Drosophila melanogaster: one gene and its partners. The protein of the gene in region 1 interacts with the protein of each later gene in a pairwise test. Each region holds a gene or a part of one and is shown in the gene's direction. Other genes may lie near its edges.

Region 1 (8,948 bases):
TTGGCAAGCTTGGCGATGAGGTGGTTAAACTTGCCGTTGGTGGTCACAGACTTTTTGGCCGATCGCACTTGTTCCGGCGAGTGCTGCAGAAAGTAAACGACGATAAATTCGAGTGTTTGATTGGCTTCCTTAGGGTACATCATGTTAAAGGTATAGTAGTAGCAGATTAACTGGGCCAGAATGTCCGGCAGGTCTTCGTCTTTGGCGGCGAATGTGGCCATTATCTGGCCTTCAATGTAGACCTTCGCCTCCATTTGCGATTCCACGCCGTCGGCCGTTGTTATGGGTGAATCTGTGGGAAGATAAATATTTTAAAAGTATTTAAACACTTTTAGTGATATTAATTTTTGTGTACTTACTGACTAGAGCCACCCAGGGGGCGTTTGTGGGATTCGTGCTTTGCAGTGATTCCTTGCTAAGGGAACTGTTCTCGAGGTGCTTGAAAATGTAGTCGGGATCCTCATTAAAATAGTACGCTATGCCACGCAGGAAATTAGCGTTGGTCTCGTCCAAAGAGCTGATCTTCTTGTTCTTTGAACTCTTAAAGAACCTGAAAAAGCGATCCTTTTCGGTAGCCAAGCGCTTCTCTAGAGCCCGGGGATCGATGGACATAAGCAGCTCAAAGTGCTGGTACAGCACAGCCTTGTCAAAAATATATGGCCAATTGTCCTTAATGGCCGTTATATCTGGGATCTTTTCGCTGTTATTAAAAAAGGAGCGCTGCAACGGAAAGCACTCTTTCATATATTCGATTATGACGGACTGTTCCAGTGGGGAACTGCCTCGGTAGCTGGAGATTAGTAACTCCTTTTTGTGCTCCAGATCCCTGTTAAGAGCCAGCGATTTTGCATCACCATTGGAAGCACCACCTCCGAATTTTCGTTTTTTATTAGGGATGTGGATCTCAAAGGTTCCCGAGCTGCCGCGTTTCTGGGGTTTGTTTAGGGCATTGTTACGGTTGATCATCTTGGATATGAGCGATTGCGGAGTGGTGGCTATAAACTGTCCCTCGCGGTCTTTTTCGAGTAAGGAGTCGGGGTACTTTTCAGCCGCCTGTTGGGCGACCTGCCGGAAAATCCGTATGGGAATGTGGGCGGATATTTCACGGAGAGCCTCCACCAAAACATTCGCAAGTGTATTCAACCGCTTGCCCAAACTCCCCTTTCCCTTTAGTAGTTTCATTATGTCCCCAGGCACCTTGCTCCAGGGTATCGAGAACTCCTTGAATAGAGCAGAACTCTTTGCACTTGATGGCGTTACGCTGGACAGTGACATGGTTTCGTCATTAGAGACCGTCGAATCGTTCGGGTTCGACACAATACTGTTGTTGGCATAGAAGCTGGGATCCACCGAGCTGCCGGCGCGTTCGGATCGGTTGAGGGGCGATGGCGGAGGAAGCACCACATACTCCTCCGACTCGGCGAGGAGCATCAACAGAATCTTCTCCTTGGCAGCGAACAAGAGCACGTCGTCCTCGCAGATCTCGCAGCCGTTGCTCTCCAGGACAATTGTGTTGCCGCACAGGCCGTATTTGTGAGCTACCGAATACAAATATATTATTGATATAAATTAAATAAAATATGTACAATTATTTAATTTCTATCCTAGATAAATATATCACCCATTGATCAAATTTATATTTTTAAATGCAGAAATGCTCTAAGCTTAAACCCAATAGATTCTTATTAAAGACTGTCTACTGGTTAATAACTTCCAACTGGGCAACGTTCATTCGGAATACTGGATGAATAGATACCCAATTCGTCGGACGTTCCTTACCTTTGTCGATTACATCCTTTCGAGTGGGCAACGACATGAAGGTCTTCTTGATCTTGCGATCGGCGCTGCATATGGTAATCAATACTTTGTCAGCCAGCTCGGTCTTCGGCTTGCCCTCGTCGTCGTCCTTCTGGCTAGCATCAGTGGAATGTGTCGGCTCTACGGCTAAAAGGTAAACGTTAACCAGGAAACTAGACTAGCTTCGAGCAAGTTTGCTAACCGGGGGCTTTCTCACCGCAGCTCTCTGGCTTTTTCGCTCCTCCTGTTTGTACACCATTTTCGATTGTTGTTGCCTTTGCGAGTGCGACCGGCGCTTGGTTTGCATTTTGATTCGGACTGATCGGCGCCTGCTGGGTGCTATGATCGCCGCCGGAACTGGCGGGCGGTGCGGGGGCAACGTCCATGGCTTCTATTTGCGTTTGCGCGACTCCAACCAAGCCCTGTTATCCGTGTTTTTGGACCGTGCCGTGAAATAATATTGCAGAATAGGGATGTAAAAACTACATCGATGCTTGGTGCGCTACTATCGCGGTGTTATCGATACTCCGCACCCAGTGTGACCGTCGAGCGCATGGCATAAATAAATAAGCCAGCGGCCAGCATTGCCATATAGTCAAAATGTTGCGGGGAACACCTTTTTCGTTTGCTGATGCATTTCTACATATGATCATATTTCTTATTTTATGTTGATGTTATCTTATGTTACGATCGAACAAAATAAATCCGATTTGTTTGCATATCATTCGACTTGTTGCAGCTATGACCGATAATAACCGATGCCGACCGATAACATGCAAATCTCGCTGACCGATAACATGGGTATATTTAAACTGGCCCTGAATGGTCGCACATTTGTTGCTTCAGCTTCACGTTGAGTCGCGTTTATTTTTGTTTTCCTCCTTGGTTCTTGTTTTTTTTTTCTCTTTTTTAAAAACACTGCAATCCTTCAAAGGGAACAATTAAACCAGGATATCCCGAGTCCAACGAAAGCGCCTTCACGATGCACTGACGAACCGCTGAGCAAGAAACGGGCATTCAGCCCATTAAAATTCACACAAGGCAGCTATTTAATGATTTTTATAAGCGGATGCAGTACTTAAACTTTCCGCGCATGCCAAACATTATGTGAGTGACTCGCCTCTGGCAAATGGTGTGGGCAATTAAAATAACTTGGTTATTTACAAACCGCAGGATGTTCCTGGAGGTTGCGATCTTATGCCTGTGGGTGGTCGCAGACGCATCGGCCAGTTCGGCCAAGTTCGGCAGCACAACGCCCGCAAGTGCGCAGCAGTCGGATGTGGAACTGGAGCCCATCAATGGGACTCTCAATTACCGACTGTACGCCAAGAAGGGCAGGGACGACAAACCCTGGTTTGATGGCCTAGACAGCAGGCACATCCAGTGTGTCCGACGTGCCCGTTGCTACCCCACCTCGAACGCAACCAACACCTGTTTCGGCTCAAAATTGCCCTATGAGCTGAGCAGCCTAGATCTCACCGACTTCCACACCGAAAAGGAGCTGAACGATAAGCTGAACGACTACTATGCCCTGAAGCACGTGCCCAAATGTTGGGCAGCTATACAGGTGAGGAATCTTAATAACATCTAATGTACCTAATGATTTCAAAAGGTGGGGCCGAGTCTGTATGAAAATACAGATTGTCGCATTATTTTCTGATAAGGAGGTGCATTAGAAACAAGTTAAGCGCACAACTGTGATTACTTAATTACGCTTTGTGTTCAAGCAGTGAAAGTAATATGTGAATTGCTTTATCTTGGGAAGATTCAGATATATATACATATTCAGTTGTGGCTCAAGGTTTTCTGTAGATATTATAGTATTTCAAATCCATTTCTTCAATATTCCGGATTAGCTCAACACACCCATTTTTACATGTTTATAGCCCTTTTTGTGCGCCGTCTTTAAGCCGAAGTGTGAAAAAATCAACGGCGAGGACATGGTCTACCTGCCATCTTACGAGATGTGCCGAATTACCATGGAACCCTGTCGCATTTTGTACAACACGACGTTTTTCCCAAAATTCCTTCGCTGCAACGAAACACTCTTTCCGACGAAATGCACAAACGGAGCACGAGGAATGAAATTCAACGGAACTGGCCAGTGTTTAAGTCCTTTGGTTCCGACAGATACGTCAGCCAGCTATTATCCTGGCATCGAGGGCTGCGGCGTGCGATGCAAGGATCCACTCTATACCGATGATGAGCATCGGCAGATCCACAAACTGATCGGATGGGCTGGCAGCATATGTCTTCTGTCTAACCTTTTCGTGGTGTCCACCTTCTTCATCGACTGGAAGAATGCCAACAAGTATCCGGCAGTAATTGTGTTCTACATAAATCTTTGCTTTCTAATTGCTTGCGTCGGGTAAGTTTTGAGCACTATTTTGCATTTGTATTCTTAATCAACCACGTATTTACTATGCAGCTGGTTGCTTCAGTTTACTTCTGGCTCGCGAGAGGACATAGTATGTCGTAAGGATGGAACACTTCGCCACTCAGAGCCTACAGCCGGTGAAAATCTTTCTTGCATAGTGATCTTTGTGCTGGTCTATTATTTTCTCACCGCTGGAATGGTTTGGTTTGTGTTCCTCACCTACGCCTGGCATTGGAGGGCCATGGGCCACGTCCAAGATCGGATAGATAAGAAAGGTTCCTACTTTCACCTCGTGGCGTGGTCACTACCCCTTGTGCTTACCATTACCACGATGGCTTTCAGTGAGGTGGATGGAAATAGTATTGTGGGCATCTGCTTCGTAGGCTATATCAATCATTCTATGAGGGCAGGACTACTTCTTGGTCCGCTCTGCGGGGTCATCCTCATTGGTGGATACTTCATCACCCGCGGCATGGTGATGCTTTTTGGACTGAAACACTTCGCTAATGACATTAAATCAACTTCGGCGAGCAACAAAATCCATTTGATCATCATGCGCATGGGAGTCTGTGCTCTGCTCACTTTAGTTTTCATACTAGTGGCCATTGCGTGCCACGTTACGGAGTTTAGGCATGCAGACGAATGGGCCCAGAGCTTCAGACAGTTTATAATGTAAGTGTAAATACTCGTTTATAACTTTTTCCATACGCCTCAACTAGATAATTCTTTTGTTTAGCTGCAAAATTTCTTCAGTTTTTGAAGAAAAGAGTTCCTGTCGAATTGAAAACCGACCTAGTGTTGGCGTTCTTCAATTGCATTTGCTGTGTCTATTTAGCTCTGGAATCGTAATGTCCACCTGGTGCTGGACACCTTCTTCAATTGAGACTTGGAAGCGTTATATAAGGAAGTATGTTTTACCATCCTACCAAAAGTTGCATTAAAGTTATCTGTACTATCGATTTTATAACCTTTGCAGAAAGTGTGGCAAAGAGGTGGTCGAAGAAGTGAAAATGCCGAAGCACAAGGTCATTGCCCAGACATGGGCCAAGCGCAAGGATTTCGAGGACAAGGGCAGGCTCTCCATAACGCTCTACAACACCCACACAGATCCCGTGGGGCTCAACTTCGATGTGAACGATCTGAACTCTTCTGAGACGAATGACATCTCATCAACTTGGGCTGCATACCTCCCGCAGTGCGTAAAACGTCGCATGGCTTTGACGGGAGCAGCGACAGGTAACTCGTCAAGCCATGGACCGCGAAAAAATTCATTGGATTCCGAGATAAGTGTGAGTGTTCGACATGTTTCCGTTGAATCCCGCAGAAATTCGGTGGACTCGCAGGTATCAGTGAAAATAGCTGAAATGAAGACCAAAGTGGCGTCCAGATCAAGGGGAAAACACGGAGGCTCTTCCAGCAACAGAAGAACCCAAAGGAGAAGGGATTATATAGCAGCTGCCACTGGAAAAAGCAGTAGGAGAAGGGAAAGCAGTACTTCAGTGGAGTCGCAGGTCATCGCGCTCAAGAAAACGACCTATCCCAATGCTAGTCACAAAGTGGGCGTGTTTGCTCATCACAGCTCCAAGAAACAACACAATTACACCAGCTCCATGAAGCGAAGGACTGCTAATGCCGGATTGGATCCCTCTATTCTTAATGAATTCCTGCAGAAAAATGGCGATTTTATATTCCCATTCCTCCAAAATCAAGATATGAGCTCTAGTTCGGAGGAGGATAATTCCAGAGCATCCCAAAAGATTCAGGATCTTAACGTGGTTGTAAAGCAGCAGGAAATAAGTGAGGATGATCACGACGGAATAAAGATTGAAGAACTGCCAAATAGCAAACAGGTGGCATTGGAGAACTTTCTTAAAAACATAAAAAAATCTAATGAATCCAATTCTAACCGACATTCCCGAAATTCCGCAAGAAGTCAGTCAAAAAAGTCCCAAAAGAGACATCTCAAGAACCCTGCTGCTGATCTAGATTTCAGGAAGGACTGTGTAAAGTATCGGTCTAATGACTCACTTAGCTGCTCCTCTGAAGAGCTGGATGTGGCTTTGGACGTAGGAAGCCTTCTTAACAGCTCTTTTTCTGGAATATCCATGGGCAAACCACATAGTAGAAACAGCAAAACCAGCTGCGATGTGGGCATACAGGCTAATCCTTTCGAGCTAGTTCCCAGTTACGGAGAAGACGAACTGCAGCAGGCCATGCGACTCCTAAACGCAGCCAGCAGACAAAGAACTGAAGCAGCCAATGAGGATTTCGGAGGAACGGAGCTGCAGGGCTTGTTGGGTCATTCCCATCGGCATCAAAGGGAGCCCACGTTTATGAGCGAGTCGGACAAACTCAAAATGTTATTGCTGCCTTCAAAATAGCAAGACTAAATAAGCAATTGATGCATTTACTTAAGGTTCAAAAACTCTTACAATATTGTAGTTTTTGTTCTAAGAAATCAAATTGTTAGCGCTGAAAATAATCGTACAATCTTATCTATTTTACGAAATCGTAATATTGTTATGTTCACTGTTCAACGATTTATAAGAATATATCGCTTCACTAGAATTGGAAACCCAAATGATATTTAAAACAAACAAATACGAAATTGTAGTACACAAGCCAGAGCAGTTTACATGCGATGAACATTTAGATTCTTCTTAATCGATTACTGGAACAGACTGAGCGAAACTAGAACTACGAATTACGAATACTCATAGTCATTAGGCTGCAACTTTATTTTACAGATTCATCACCCCATCTAGCTTGTAAGCATTCGAATCTCTGTGTACGTTTGTGAATGACTGTTTCCTTAATCCTGGTACTCACGCCAAAGTAAATGCCAAAGAGGATAATAATTTATTTTCATTATTTTTCTTTGCCGTGGGTACAGGACTTTAGATTGTAGATTATAGATTTAAGTACGATATAAATAAGCCTCTTGGGCACACAAATCGTACCTCAGAAAGTGCCTTCAAGTTTACAAAATTATACATAATAATTTGTGTAACTAATAAACGATTTTAAATCCTCGAGTCCTAGCCTTGCTTTAATTTCTGTTGATTTAGGAGCTTAAACTCCGGACCCCAAACGACGTTGTTGGCGAACTCCCCGAGCAGATAGCAAACCAGGTTGAACCCCACAAGTAGTGCCAAGAACACGTAGCGCAGGTATGCGGGCAGCACTTCCAGAATGGGATACACCCACTCGCCACTGAAGTAGCGAACAATGTGCAGCCAGATGATGTAAAGCAGGATGAAGGAGACGTTGCCCGTGATGCCTGCCAATCGACTCGGATAGCGGCGGAAGCAGGTAAACAGGTCCATAATGGCCAAAAGGGCCACATTCGTGTGTACCACGTGATTCAACCAGCTGCAAATATTGAGAAACACAGGTAAATCAAAACTCGCCTCGCCTGATGAACAGAAAGTTTAGACAGGCTCGAAACAAAAGAGACTCCAGCAGACTAACATTGTGCATTGTACGCAAGTTAAACCGGCGGAAAAACATAAACACTTGCCTGGGGAAAATCGCATCCAGCGCTGAGGGAAAGATGAGCTCACGGTCCCACACGTAGATGACCCAAAACGAGAGGCAGACATTGTGGGCGACAGGAAAGGCAAAGGCGGCGAACACATAGTCCCTCACCGATCGCAACATGGATTTTGAATCCCCGGAGACATTGTTATCGCCGAAGAGATCGTTCAGCAGAGCCAATGAGTGGTAGATGGCCTGTAGAATGACGTCCAAGAAGGTAAGGTACTTGAACTTGCCGCCCCACCGCGCCTTCAGTTCATCCTCGTCTAGCAAATCCGTGGGCCAATGCACCCGGAAGTAGTGAAAGTATATCCCATACGAAAACTGCGCTGCCGCCAGGAGATGGACCAGGAATCTCAGGTATTTGAAGGCACCGCTCGTATAGGCATCGTTGCAAGTGTTCAACTGGGCTTTAGTGGCCTCGACAGCTTCCTTGGCGGCGTTGAACTCGCGCACCTGCTTCTTGCTCTTGCCCATTTCCTCCAGAAAAGGTGCAAAGGGCACCGCACGCTGAGCAAAACAAAACAAATAAAGCTAGCCAACAGCTGATTAGGGCGCAACACACGTCGAGTTTCATTCCAGCAAGGAGGCGTTTTTAAGCTAGAACTAGCTTTTTAAAGCCAAATCGATATGATAGCGCCACTTGACGTTTCTCTGATCTTGAAAAGCAGTTTATTCCAAGCTTCCCACCTTAAAACAGTTTTCGCAGCTGATGAAGAGTTTAATCGCTTTATTATGGTACTAGAATTGAATAACAGTGGTATTCAAAGATGGCGTTGAATCAGTGTGCTTGATATGAGAAGTTTAATCGAGAAGGCATTTTTGTATTTTGGTTAGTCTAGTAAACTTATCGAAAGACGCGCGCGCTCAATGGAAACTACGGCTATAATTTCAGTTACAATGTATGCGTAATAAAAATATAATGAATATCATTAGCAAACGGGTTTCCATATTATGATTAAAGACTCCGAATTCAATATTACTGGAAAATATATTATCGAGTTGATGTTTCAAGTTTCGTTTATTATTTCTCACATATTTTGTACGCCTTCTTCAGTTAACTTTGCAGTACGATTTTACATACTTATGAAAAATTTCTTTGGCTGAGAAGATCGAACAATATGAGCAAAATGTATAATCGAGACCTGTCAATCACTATTTGTATTTTGTGGCTAATTAACGCAACTACATCGAACAGAAACGGGTCACAGCCTCCTAGTTGGATTTGCGCTTGGCC
Region 2 (7,690 bases), on another chromosome or scaffold:
TGCGCTGGCGATGGTACCACAGTTTGGAGCAGACGGTGGGTGCGATGACGCAGCCCTGCGTGAAGCTGAGGAAGAAGAGCTTGCGCACGGCGAGTCCGATAAGGGTGAAGACTAGCATCTGCAGGAAGCTGTACACGTAGTGCATGTTGAGGATCTGTGCGTTGGCCGTGGGCACCACGGAGCTGCGTCTGGAGGAGCTGCGCTTCCTCTGTCGATGGCCACTCGAGTTTGAGCCGCAGCCGGCGGCGGTGGCAGAGTGTTCCTCCTCCTCCTCTTCATTGTCCGCGGACCTGGACGGCGGCGTTTCAGTGGGATCTGCTGCAGACTCGGTCTCCGTTTCGCCACTACCTGGCTCCTGATTCTTCTTCTTCGATTCCGATTCTGCTTCCGGATCCTTATCCTCCTCCTCAGTCGGCGTGCTGGCCCCGTCGGTGGCCGCTTCTTTGGTTTCCTGCGCCCGCTCCTTGCGCTGCTTGACGCTGTTGCGGTTAATTTGCGCTCGCAGCCGCTTGATATCCTGCATAAAGTCGTCGCGGGCGGGCGGCTGCTCCTTACGCAGGCTGGCCTGTGCGCGCTTGTAGCGCTCGTAGTCGTAGTCGCAGCTTTTGAGCAGGCGGAAGCACTTATACAGCTGTTTCTCCGTCTCCTTGCTAGACATGTCGCTCATGGAAACGAAGTGCTCCTCTATGAAGTCTTCCAGCACGTATTTGCGCGCTCTCTCGCGCTGCTCTTCGGTGAGGGCACTTACTGGGGCGCCGCTCTTGCGCCAGCGCCGGAAGAACATGGCCAGCATGACCACGCCGTACATGCAGTACGGCTTAACAATCATCGTCTTGACCAGCTGCCACAATTCTGACCAGGCGACGCGCGCGTACTGCGGATTGCAGGCGGAAAGGTGGGCGACAAAGCCGACATTGACCTGCAGAGCCCAGTGGGCACATATGTCGAAGAAGTGCTGCTGGTCGCCTTCCGTCACACTGACCACGCCAGCCCGATTGAAGAGCTCTATCAGCGTGGTCTGCACGCTGCTGGCGAGCAGCAGTGTGAGCATGAGGAACTTCAACGAGAATAAGTCGCCGTTCAGCAGATCCTGCGCGTGTCCCAGTCGCCGGCTGCGCACGTGACGCAACTGTCGCACCATTGTAATCAAAAATAGGAACAGCGAGATGCTCAGCTGCCAGGTGAGAAGCAGCTGGCTGTTGCCGTGCGACATTACAAAGGCGAGAGCGTGGCCCAGCAGGTGCGACAGCGAGTAGTCCAGCACGAAGGCGTTGACCAGAGCCGTGGGCAGCGCGCTCGCGTTCCAGGACGTCATCATGATCAGGATCTGGGTGGTGAAGATGAAGGTGGAGAACTGCCAGGAGAGTAGGGCGCAGGCGGTGAAAAGCGACATGGCGAAGATCTTCGAAGGGCAAAGATGTTACTGAGCTTAATGCAATAAAGCACACCTATTACCATGAACATGCGAGATGTGTGCCGCTGTCGGTGTATGATCCTTCCGATGCAGATACACAGATAAAACATCTGCAGGAAAATGAACGGAAAGGCGAAGTTCTCCCGCGCCAGCGGCCGCTCATAGATCTTGGCCACGAAGCTGTGGAACATCAGGTACGAGATTACGCCGTATATGCCACCGAAAATGTTCTCGCTGAGCAGCGTTCCGTACAGGTAGAGTACCAGCAGGGTTACCCCGCCCATCAGCCACACGAACTCCAGATAGAACTGCATCGGTTGCACCATTGGATTGAAGCCGGAGCGCACTACGTGAAAGAAGTACCTTTGGGGAGCGAAAGTGCATCTGCATTAGTGGACTTTTTGGGCATCACTCCTCTGGCAGTCACTTACGCCGTGACCAGCTCCGGCAGCACGTAGAATCGCTGCAGCACATTGACACTGTGCGGATACTCGATGTCCGTGACGTTCTTCAGCTGCTCGTAGCCGTGCCAAAAGTCCGGCCCTTCGGCCAGCTGCTTGTAGAAGGCATAGTACAGGGCATCCTCGCGCCGCAGAAGCGCCTCCCGCTCCAGCTGATTGAGCTGCTGGATGTTGGTGCGCGTCTCGAAGATCACGCGCACATGCTGCACGTATAGGAAGAAGAAGCCGCAGCCTGGGATGCGGATTGGAATTGGGAGTGTGGTCAATGGCAGTGGGAATCCCCAACTCAATTAGACTGCCGCCTGGAAGCGGAAGAGGCGTGGCAGAAGTGTCTGCCGGTTGGCGGAAACTCACCGATCAGCGCGTGCGACAGGATCACGTACAGGTTGGGCTCGCGCATCGTGCTGCGATTGTGGGTGTCGTCTCACTGGGTGGCTGTGTTCAAATTGGCAATCATTATTTATTTCACAACGATTATTCCTGGCTCCGCACAATAAAAACCAGCCAGCAATCAGCTGTTCTTCGGCCGTGCTTGTCTAGGGTGACCGTACCGAGTTGCTGTCAAAAGGGTCATTTGTGTTGGTTTGGTCACACTGAATTTTAGGTACATTACGATATATAGGTACATACCTATAATTAGTTATATTATCTACTGCACTTTTGGAATTTTTAATTATTTATATTGCATATCATTTATTGCACTTATTAAGTAAAAATTTGTACATTAAGAAATATATACATATAAATATTTATAATATATAATAATATATAAGTTAAAGTTCGTTCCAACTTTTATCACTTAATAAATGTTTATTCGCAGATAATACTAATACCTACTGCCACAGATAAAAGCGCAAACTAGTCTTGTATTTGTCTTGGATTGTATCATGATCTGGTCTATATAGATTTTTAGGTACAATTGCTGTCCAGCAAAAGCGTCATTTATCAGAAAAGGAACCCTGTATGAGCAATCTAGTATTTTCATATACCTACGTACCGAAGCCGAGTTCCCACCTCGGAGTCAACCTGCTACGGTCATACCGCACGCACTTCAGTGGTAATCACATCCCAATCCGCAGCAAAACAAAGAATAACCATGAACCGCTACGCGGTAAGCTCGATGGTGGGGCAAGGATCCTTCGGGTGCGTATACAAGGCGACACGCAAGGACGACAGCAAGGTGGTGGCCATCAAAGTGATCTCCAAGGTGAGTGGGGCGGGCCAGGTGATAAAGCAACAAGTCCATACAACTAGTTCACACCATATTCATGTTCTGCAGCGCGGAAGAGCCACGAAAGAGCTGAAGAATTTGCGCAGGGAGTGCGACATTCAGGCCCGGCTGAAGCATCCGCACGTCATCGAGATGATCGAGTCCTTCGAGTCGAAGACGGACCTTTTCGTGGTCACTGAGTTCGCGCTGATGGACCTGCACCGCTACCTGTCCTACAATGGAGCCATGGGCGAGGAGCCGGCACGTCGGGTGACCGGGCATCTGGTGTCCGCTCTGTACTACCTGCATTCAAACCGCATCCTCCACCGGGATCTCAAACCGCAAAACGTGCTGCTCGACAAGAACATGCACGCGAAACTCTGCGACTTTGGACTGGCCCGCAACATGACCCTGGGTACCCACGTGCTCACCTCGATCAAGGGAACGCCCCTCTACATGGCCCCGGAGCTGCTGGCGGAGCAGCCGTACGACCATCATGCGGACATGTGGTCACTGGGCTGCATAGCCTACGAAAGCATGGCCGGTCAGCCGCCCTTCTGTGCCAGCTCCATCCTGCATCTGGTGAAGATGATCAAGCACGAGGACGTCAAGTGGCCGAGCACGCTGACTAGCGAGTGCCGCTCCTTCCTACAGGGCCTGCTTGAGAAGGACCCCGGTCTGCGCATATCCTGGACGCAGCTGTTGTGTCACCCCTTCGTTGAGGGACGCATCTTTATCGCAGAAACGCAGGCGGAGGCGGCCAAGGAATCGCCTTTCACAAATCCCGAAGCCAAGGTTAAGTCGTCAAAACAGTCCGATCCGGAGGTAGGCGATCTGGACGAGGCCCTGGCCGCTTTGGACTTTGGCGAGTCGCGACAGGAAAACTTGACCACCTCCCGCGACAGCATAAACGCCATTGCTCCCAGCGATGTTGAGCATCTTGAGACCGATGTGGAGGACAATATGCAACGTGTGGTCGTTCCCTTCGCGGACTTGTCCTACAGGGATCTGTCTGGTGTTCGGGCAATGCCGATGGTACACCAGCCGGTGATCAACTCGCACACTTGCTTCGTCAGTGGCAACTCCAATATGATCCTCAATCATATGAACGACAACTTCGACTTTCAGGCTTCCTTGCGGGGCGGAGGCGTGGCCGCTAAGCCAATAGTCGCTCCAACCGTACGCCAGTCGCGCAGCAAGGATCTAGAGAAGCGTAAGCTTAGTCAGAATCTGGATAACTTCTCTGTTCGCTTGGGTCACAGCGTCGACCATGAGGCGCAACGCAAGGCCACGGAGATTGCTACACAGGAAAAGCATAACCAGGAAAACAAGCCTCCCGCTGAAGCAATTTCCTACGCAAATTCTCAGCCCCCGCAGCAACAGCCACAACAACTTAAACACTCAATGCATTCCACCAATGAGGAAAAGCTGAGCAGCGAGTAAGTGGCCACTGCGCCTCATAGAATTTCTTTTACTAACTTTCCCCTTTCAATAACAGCAACACTCCGCCGTGCCTGCTCCCGGGGTGGGATAGCTGCGATGAATCCCAAAGTCCGCCCATCGAGAACGATGAGTGGCTAGCCTTCTTGAACAGATCGGTGCAGGAGCTGCTTGACGGCGAACTGGACTCATTGAAACAGCACAACCTGGTGAGCATTATTGTGGCACCGCTGCGCAACTCCAAGGCCATTCCACGGGTACTCAAGAGTGTGGCCCAGTTGCTGTCGTTGCCCTTTGTGCTGGTGGATCCTGTTTTGATTGTTGACCTCGAGCTCATCCGCAACGTGTACGTGGACGTAAAACTGGTGCCCAATCTCATGTACGCCTGCAAGCTGCTCCTGTCGCACAAACAACTCTCGGACTCGGCTGCCTCCGCCCCACTCACCACGGGTTCGCTCAGTCGAACGTTGCGTAGCATTCCGGAGCTAACTGTCGAGGAGCTGGAGACGGCTTGCAGTCTGTACGAACTGGTCTGCCACTTGGTACACCTGCAGCAGCAGTTCCTAACGCAGTTCTGCGATGCGGTTGCCATTCTGGCAGCAAGCGATCTGTTCCTCAACTTCCTCACGCACGGTAAGATTACCCTTAGATGGTATGAGCTGACTCCTGTAAACTGTTAGCCCGTTCCCGTTCTCCCGTAGACTTCAGGCAATCGGATTCAGACGCCGCCTCTGTTCGCCTGGCTGGGTGCATGTTGGCCCTGATGGGCTGTGTGCTGCGCGAGCTGCCCGAAAACGCGGAGCTTGTAGAACGGATTGTCTTTAATCCGCGGCTAAACTTCGTCTCGCTCCTGCAGAGCCGACACCACCTGTTGCGGCAACGTTCCTGTCAGCTGCTGCGCCTGCTGGCCCGCTTCAGCCTGCGCGGCGTGCAGCGCATATGGAATGGAGAGCTGCGATTTGCGCTGCAACAACTCTCTGAGCACCACTCGTACCCGGCACTCCGTGGGGAGGCCGCCCAGACCCTCGACGAGATCAGTCACTTCACTTTTTTCGTCACCTAGCCGGCACTTTCTTTTATTGGCCTCAGGCGTTTTTATCCGAGCAGATCCTGAATGTTGCCCTGGAAGTAGTCGAGCAGTTCGTCGATGTAGTTCCCGAAGCGGTCGAAGTTGAGCAGGTAGTCCTCGCTGCAGTCCTGTTCGTACATCTCGTTTAGCTTGGACACATCCTTGTCGGAGAGGCCGCGTCTCTGGCCCAGCGAGGCGTACGGATCCTGGAAGCAAAGGACAGGAGTCAGAGAGTGTAGACGATGCAAGCTCCCCCAAGTCATTACAAACATCTCATCGCTTCAACTAAAACTGCTAAGGTGTAGTCAACCATTCAGCTAAAGAATTCTCATTTGATATAGTTCCAACTGGACAAGGAAGCAAAATGCTTCGTCTATTCCTAGCATAGTTGCACGTCATTGGACCATGTGTTAATATAGGAATTCCTAATCTGAATATGATCAAATCACTATCACTATCGAATTTAAATATTTTATGAGCCACGGTTTTTGGCATTCCTAATGGAATCTAAGTTAATTGATAGGTGTTTTTGAATGCACATATTCAAGTGTGGTTTGTGCAAAATAGATTGATAGCATTATAGTTTGTATATCGAAATATAACATTTAGGTGTAGTAATTGTTAAGATAAGCGAATTTACTGTATGTCCATACAATAGTCCATTAATTCGCAGTATTACTATTGAATGTTAAACTGAACTCCTTTACAGTGTAAGCGATTTAAAATAATACTCAATTACATGAATAACTGGTAACCATTTGGGTTGGCCTACTCACCAATGGCTCTATGGTGGCTTTCCCGTTCTTGCTGAAGGCCCGCGAGCTGTAGTGCATGACGCTCTGGTAGTCGTACTCCACCCCGAAGTTGGTGATGTGGGTGCGGGCGTACTTGTTGAAGTTGTGCGCGTGCCCGTCGAGGATGTTCTCCCAGTTGATCTTGACGTACTCATCCCGCTCCGTGGCGCTCTGCTGGTGGTAGAAGCCGAGCGCGTGCAGCAGCTCGTGCACCACCACGCCGTGTGTGACGCACTTGGGTGTGTTCAGGTTGAGCACCTGGCCACCCGAACGCCGGCCGACGCTCGACCAGCAGCCGGAGTAGTTGCCCTTGATGAGCAGCCAGTGCTTGTCGCCCTGTTCGTACGGCCGGAAACGTATGCAGGTGCGGTCGTGGTACTCCTTGAAGGCCTTCAGTATGACCATGGTCTGGTTGGCGTCTGTTTGGAAAGGGTGTTTTACTACTTTGGACTGCTTGCAGGCCTTAACTCACTGAAGTCTTGCGGGTCTATGTAGAAGGGCACGGCGGCCTCTGGCCAGGTGAGCCGCTCGTTCAGCAGCCCGTTCCTCAGCAGCTCGCGGTGCAGCATGATGTCGCCCTCGAAGAGGCCGCAATGCTCCCATATGTTCGTATCGCTGTCCTCCGTCCAGAAGTTGAAGGCAGGACCTGCAAGTGCCAATGGTTGAGTGCATCGACTACTAGCGTCTGATATGATGTTGGGTACCTACTGTTGTGCCGGCGCAGCATCTGCATATTGGCGCCCCACCTGGCAGCGGGCGGCACCGCGGGTCGTGCGCGAAGAAGCGCCTTTCGCGTGGCCGGGGTACTCGCCTCCAAGGTGGCGGACAGGGCCAAGGCCAGGGCAGACCAAAAACAAATCAGACCGGGAACGATGAGCGCACTTCTCGGCATTGTTGGGGTAAAAGAAACGCCGGCCATGTTGCGTCGACGCTTTTATATGGCACTGCGTAAAGGGGCGGGGCAATGACAACGGCAATGGCAGTTCCAATTGAAAGTACGAGTGAGTATTGAGTGACTGACTGACTGGGCGACTGAATGGCGGACGCCCACGCCGCTGGATTTCGGATTTATGCATAACTTAACTGACTTATTGGCTCTCTCTTTCGGCGCGCATTCAAATTCCCCCGCCTCGACTTTTACGGCTTTTGGTTCCAAATTTAACTGGGATATTGGGTTATCAGTGGCAACGGCGTGCGCATATGAAAATAGCACACTCTCTTTCCCAGTACCAGCGCCAGTGACAGTGCCAGTTCCAGTGCCAGTGCCAGTGCCAGTACCATTACCCAGTGGCGGTGCCTTCC
Region 3 (5,316 bases), 4.0 Mb from region 1:
ATTTGTCTAGCCCACTCAGCGGGCTGCAGATTAGATAATAGCAGTGGCATATGGATCATCTCACGCTTAATTTATTAGATCTTCCAACGCTGCGAGAAGCGCGGAGGGCAGGGGAAAACAAAAACACAAACATACGTACATACAATTAGCCCTAAGAATGATTCTATCGGGATTACTTGACTATGTATACTGGATAGTGATTACATACATATTGGGGGAGTGGAGTATATGGTATTGCGTCTTCTAATGCTAATGCATACTGTGGTCACAGCTCTGCACTCCTTCTAATCCTGCTTCTTTTGTGCAGCTGTCTTTTTGATCGCTGGCGCAGCCTGGGGACCTTCGATGGCTCCATTGGCTGTCTTGCCCTCCAGCTTCTGGGCGGCATGCTGCTGCTCCATCTCCCCGGAGAAGCCGAACTCATTCACGCGCTTCAAATCGACGCGATACTGCCAGCGCTGGTAGAGGAACACAAAGAAGATGATGTCGTCGCGGAAGCAACCCAACCGGTACATTGTGGGCATTTTGATCACAAACGCAAAGATGTCATCGATAAAGGTGTTGAGGAACTTGTAGGTCATCATGCGCCACGGCATGTGGGCCACCGACTTTAGCTTGTAGTTGATGAATAGCTGCGGCGTCATCAGGATGAAGCCAAAGGTCAGCAGATAGCCGTACAGCATGTTGAGCACAAATGAGTACCAGCCCTTGTGCTCGTTGTAGATCAACGAGTAGACAAAGTAGGCCACCAGGAGCGGGAAGCATGCCCAGCCCAGGTACTTGAAGGCCAGTTTGTCATAGTCTTTGGTCGAGCTCTCCGAATAGGAGCCCTTGTCCTGGAAACTGATTCTCGGCAGCACTCCCAGAATCTTTTGATCGTGATCGTAGTTGATATCCACGACCTTGTGAATCTTCCACACCTCGATTCCCAGTCCCACGAAACAGGAGATGCGAATCATGAAGTTGGTCTCGTTGTCCAGCACGTACAGCAGGATGATTAGTGACTGGAAGACACCGAAGAACACCGATCGTACAGACAGTCCTTCGAGCGACTTGCGATTGTTCCAGAACTGAATGTCGTTCTTGAAGGCCAGCAGTTCGAACACCGAATGCAGTATGGAAACGGCCACTGTGATGCCCAGCAGGTAGATATTGGTGTCCAGCAGAGTCTCCTTCAGCGAGTCCTGATCCTCGTCACTCTCCTCCGGCTGGCTGGCGGCCATCAGCTCACCGAGCATATTGCCAGCCCACTTGTTCTTCATCTGTTTGGCGGCATACAGCTGCCACTTGAACATGCCCAGCGGCTGGAAAGTGAGGTGCAGCTCCAGTTCGGGAGTGGTCTCATTAATGGGTTGATACTCCCGCTGAAGATTCCAGTAGTCGTTGACGAACAGGATGGGCAGATAGGTCTTACCGCCGTCTACGAACTTTACGTAGTCATCCAGTGGCGGCGGCACAGATCCCTCGGCCCAGTTAGTTTGGTCCACTACGAGATTGACCGTGAGATTAGGATGCCAGTGAGACACGATGGTATCCTTGAGATTCGCATGCTTGAGCTCGTGCTCCAACTTCTCCTTCTCGCTGGCCAGCAAGTTGTAGTTGCGGTTCACACGCAACTTCTTGAACTTGTTCAGCTGATGTTGCTGGTGGCCCATTTTGGTGGCGTAATTCGGGGCTTTGGGATCGGGACTCATGCCGGTACGCGTGACAAAGGCATGTAGGTACACACTGCCATTGTTCATCAGATGCTGGCTGGTCTTAAGCTTCAAACTGTGCGTGTAAATGCCATCTCCGTTGACGCCCGACGTCCAATCGCCATAGGTGAGGTCCTTCTGTAGCCAGAGGAGATTCGCCTTTTGCTGGAAGTTAACCACATCGGGATTCTCCGACAACCACACGTGCAGGTCAAAGTCCGTGCCGTTCTCGAAGTAATTCCAGGCCGTGATCTTGGGACCCGCATTAGCGACACTTTTGCCTTGACTGGCGGCATCGGGCGCAGGTCGTCGGAAAAAGGAGCTCACAAAGTAGATGATCAGGGCACGCAGGATGAGGGACTTGGTCATCGCAAAGAAGGACTCCATGCGGGTGGGCTGATTCGGCGGGGGTTGTTGTTGCTCATTCTGGCCTTCATTTTGGGCCAGCTCAGCGTTACCATTGCCCGCAATCACCTAGAAAAAACGATGAGAACCAGGTCGCTATTGTCAGGTGATTGGGGTTGAGAAAGGTTTAAGTTTCTCAGATACTTACCGCACCCTCTGCTGCGGGCTGATCTTCGCCTGCTTTCGACATGCTCTGTTCTCAAGGGTTTTCCACGCTTTTCCCTTAGTTTCCCGTTTTCCGCACAACTTGTGCTACTGTCATCGATAGGTAAGTGTTGAGGACCTATCGAGCCATTAGAACTTCGATATCGAAAGGGGTATTTTTCAGAATCTATCGATTTGACGCAGAATGGAAAAGCACGGTGTTCTCACTATAAAGACATACTTTTTTCACTAAGTCAAATACAAATTTATTTATTATATGTGACATATTTAGCAATACACATTTTTAGAATATCGTTGGCTTAAATGTATATCCCTTACTTACTTATACTTACTTACTTACTTATACTTATACAACCTAGTATTCAATTATTGTTCTTAGTAAAATGGACAGCAACTTGAATATTTTTGTATAAATTCAAAAGGTTTAATATCTGAAAAAATATTTCATAAATTCATTAAAAATATAATTTAAATCGATTAGGCGGTTTTTCAATAAAAAAAAATATGCGTAATATGTAATATTTGAACCTTATCTAAAATATAATTCTATATACAAGTTTTGATTTCAATTTATTTGTATACAATGCAAATAGCATTTTCATGCCATAATAATATAATTTTGAATTAGCTTAGCTATCAGTGAGGTAGCGTTGGGCTATAAAAAAACACGAAAAACTATATGTTGATATTGTAAAGTTGGTCTCGGTTCAAATGGTAAAGATATTTTGCATTAATTAATTTGAGTGTCTGAATATTTTTTACAGTTCCATTTAGAATGTTTTGGTATTTAAAAAATAGTATTTTGGTATATTTGCAGTGCTCGGCGGCGGCCACACTCTCTTTTCCCTTTTTCTTTTGAATAGCATTTGGTTGCACGTTTCCTCTGGTGAGTTTCCATTAAATATATTAAAAATAAACGAAAAATCGCAATAACGTGGCAGAATGTAAACATATTGTTGTTTAGTGACGTATTTGTGATATGAAAAAGATGGACACTGGTGCTTGTCGACCGGTGGAGCTGTTTCTGTCGAACGAAACATGCCAGCAAGTCGGACCTAACCTCCAATCTTTGCCCGCTCTTTGGGACGCACAAGTTCGCTAAGAAATCGTACGATTTGGTACTGATTTATGTTTTATATTGCTTTCAGTGACGCCGCCATTATGCAGATCTTCGTGAAAACCCTCACCGGCAAGACCATCACCTTGGAGGTGGAGCCTTCTGACACCATCGAGAATGTCAAGGCTAAGATCCAGGATAAGGAGGGCATTCCCCCAGATCAGCAGCGTCTGATCTTCGCCGGCAAGCAGCTGGAGGATGGCCGCACTCTGTCCGACTACAACATTCAGAAGGAGTCCACCCTGCACTTGGTGCTCCGCCTGCGTGGTGGTATCATTGAGCCCTCGCTCAGGATTCTGGCCCAGAAGTACAACTGCGACAAGATGATCTGCCGCAAGTGCTACGCCCGTCTGCATCCTCGTGCCACCAACTGCCGCAAGAAGAAGTGCGGACACACCAACAACCTGCGCCCCAAGAAGAAGTTGAAGTAGACTATGATCATCCGTCGACGGTCCAGGCTGGTCTTTCTATCGACAAAACCATGGTTAACCATCTAAGTAAATATATGTACATTTTGTGAAACCACATCTAATCGAAATGTATTGCATTTGCTGCCAAGGCACAGCCTATTTACACCGTGTATGTTTCTGTTTTCCTGTCATCTGTTTTCGTTTGTGGTCTCCGAAGAACGAGTTTCTGCGGTTTTAGGAAGCTCTTATACTGCAATTAGTTGGCCTCTCCGAGATCTCAGTTAGTTTTTCTGCTCTGTTTCTGGTTCTGTCTCGCCACCAGGAAGCGGGCGACAGCAGCAGGTAATTGATATTCCATCTGCCAGCGATACCAGACCCTTGCGGTCTACTCTTCTGCCCAAGGGAAACAAGGGGACTGGCTGGCTAGTACGCCGCGGATGGTCGAGCAGACCTACTTGGCCAAGCTAAGCCAAGTCCACTTCGAGTACAGTTAATTGGTTTCATTGACCGCCGACTAAGGCGCGCAACGGCTTCCGTGGCCAACTGGTAAACTGGTTGTTGGCGCTCTAATCCATGCTAGCACTTGGTCGTTGGCCCCGCGGAGGCTCTTATTATGAATATCTTAATAACCCAAGAACTGGCTGGTGACGACCCAAAGGGCCTGCCTGATAGGCAGGACATGATAACAAGCGGGAAACCGAGAAGAGCAGCTGCTGCCGGAGGACCAGGCACAAATTGCGGTCAACATTAATTAAAAATACGTTTTTGGGTGACCCGCGCAGATTTCCCAGGCGCAGAATGGGTGGCTGGATTGGAGGAGGGGACGCGACTGATGAAATTGCGGATCAAGCACAATGAAAAAAAGTTAAGGGCCGTCGCCCGCAGGAAAGTCCCAGCAAAAGGTAAGTGGAAAAGCAACCTGAGCTGCCCAGAGGTGAGGATTGCAGTGGCTCGAAAAAAACCTATGATAGTTGATAGTACAGTGGTACCTAGAAATACTTGCTTATAGTTGCTTATAGTATAGTTTTATACCATATAAGTAAAAAAAGTGTATGACACATTTTTTTTAAAGAATTGAATAAGATATAAGATTTACTATAATAACTATATCCATTCAGTTCCGAATTATCAATAGACCACTGTGGCCACGTTCTCGTCCAATATACAAAGGTGTTATATGGGCCAGCCGAGGGTCGGGTATTTTAAAAATTAAGGCTCTGCCTTTCGGAGCTGCAGGAAAAGCGGCTGCTTATTTATGGGTCCCGGGTCCTCAGCCTTGGAGGCCACGGGCTTGAAAATGCCCAAACAGGTTCCAGCCTCCACTGGTCCGTTTCAGCAACCAAGTGCGTGGCTTTCGTTTTTAATTTTTGCAGCCCGTCCAAGTTTGGGTCTCTGTCTTTTGGGCGCCGCCTTTGCCATTCTTGGGAGCAGGACTTTTATGGCCGGATGGGTCGCAGTTTACATAACAGATGTGACCAGAATAATTAAGAGTGCGATTCGAGTGGTGGCCCAAGTGTCCTCATCT

What was found.
Region 2: the proteins of smo (region 1) and fu interact in a two-hybrid assay, tested with the Drosophila melanogaster proteins (2 studies listed by BioGRID, with this or other methods).
Region 3: the proteins of smo (region 1) and RpL40 interact in binary tests that used the Drosophila melanogaster proteins (3 or more experiments, as listed by UniProt).

Annotation. Positions count from the first base shown.
Region 1 is NT_033779.5:274,960-283,907, forward strand, and holds smo (smoothened), read left to right. Parts: upstream 1-2,622; 5' UTR 2,623-2,866; coding exon 2,867-2,904; exon of another isoform or gene 2,905-2,970; coding exon 2,971-3,364; intron 3,365-3,683; coding exon 3,684-4,165; intron 4,166-4,225; coding exon 4,226-4,846; intron 4,847-4,910; coding exon 4,911-5,081; intron 5,082-5,150; coding exon 5,151-6,555; 3' UTR 6,556-7,208; downstream 7,209-8,948. Other genes in the region: CG17078 (uncharacterized protein), read right to left, coding at 1-292, 360-1,538, 1,780-1,944, 2,000-2,183; CG11601 (uncharacterized protein), read right to left, coding at 7,213-7,546, 7,695-8,188; CG3625 (uncharacterized protein), read right to left, coding at 8,927-8,948. UniProt on the Drosophila melanogaster protein: Segment polarity protein required for correct patterning of every segment. G protein-coupled receptor which associates with the patched protein (ptc) to transduce the hedgehog (hh) signal through the activation of an inhibitory G-protein.
Region 2 is NC_004354.4:18,654,869-18,662,558, forward strand, and holds fu (fused), read left to right. Parts: upstream 1-2,886; 5' UTR 2,887-2,971; coding exon 2,972-3,082; intron 3,083-3,154; coding exon 3,155-4,524; intron 4,525-4,583; coding exon 4,584-5,158; intron 5,159-5,226; coding exon 5,227-5,588; 3' UTR 5,589-5,620; coding exon of another isoform or gene 5,621-5,800; 3' UTR 5,801-6,336; downstream 6,337-7,690. Other genes in the region: CG6659 (uncharacterized protein), read right to left, coding at 1-1,402, 1,456-1,777, 1,846-2,107, 2,230-2,275; CG6696 (uncharacterized protein), read right to left, coding at 5,621-5,800, 6,371-6,807, 6,861-7,034, 7,097-7,280. UniProt on the Drosophila melanogaster protein: Probable serine/threonine-protein kinase; maternally required for correct patterning in the posterior part of each embryonic metamere. May be involved in control of cell division during metamorphosis and ovarian development. May interact with costal-2.
Region 3 is NT_033779.5:4,224,600-4,229,915, forward strand, and holds RpL40 (ribosomal protein L40), read left to right. Parts: upstream 1-3,099; 5' UTR 3,100-3,208; intron 3,209-3,412; 5' UTR 3,413-3,425; coding exon 3,426-3,812; 3' UTR 3,813-3,962; downstream 3,963-5,316. Other genes in the region: CG3702 (uncharacterized protein), read right to left, coding at 285-2,168, 2,248-2,289.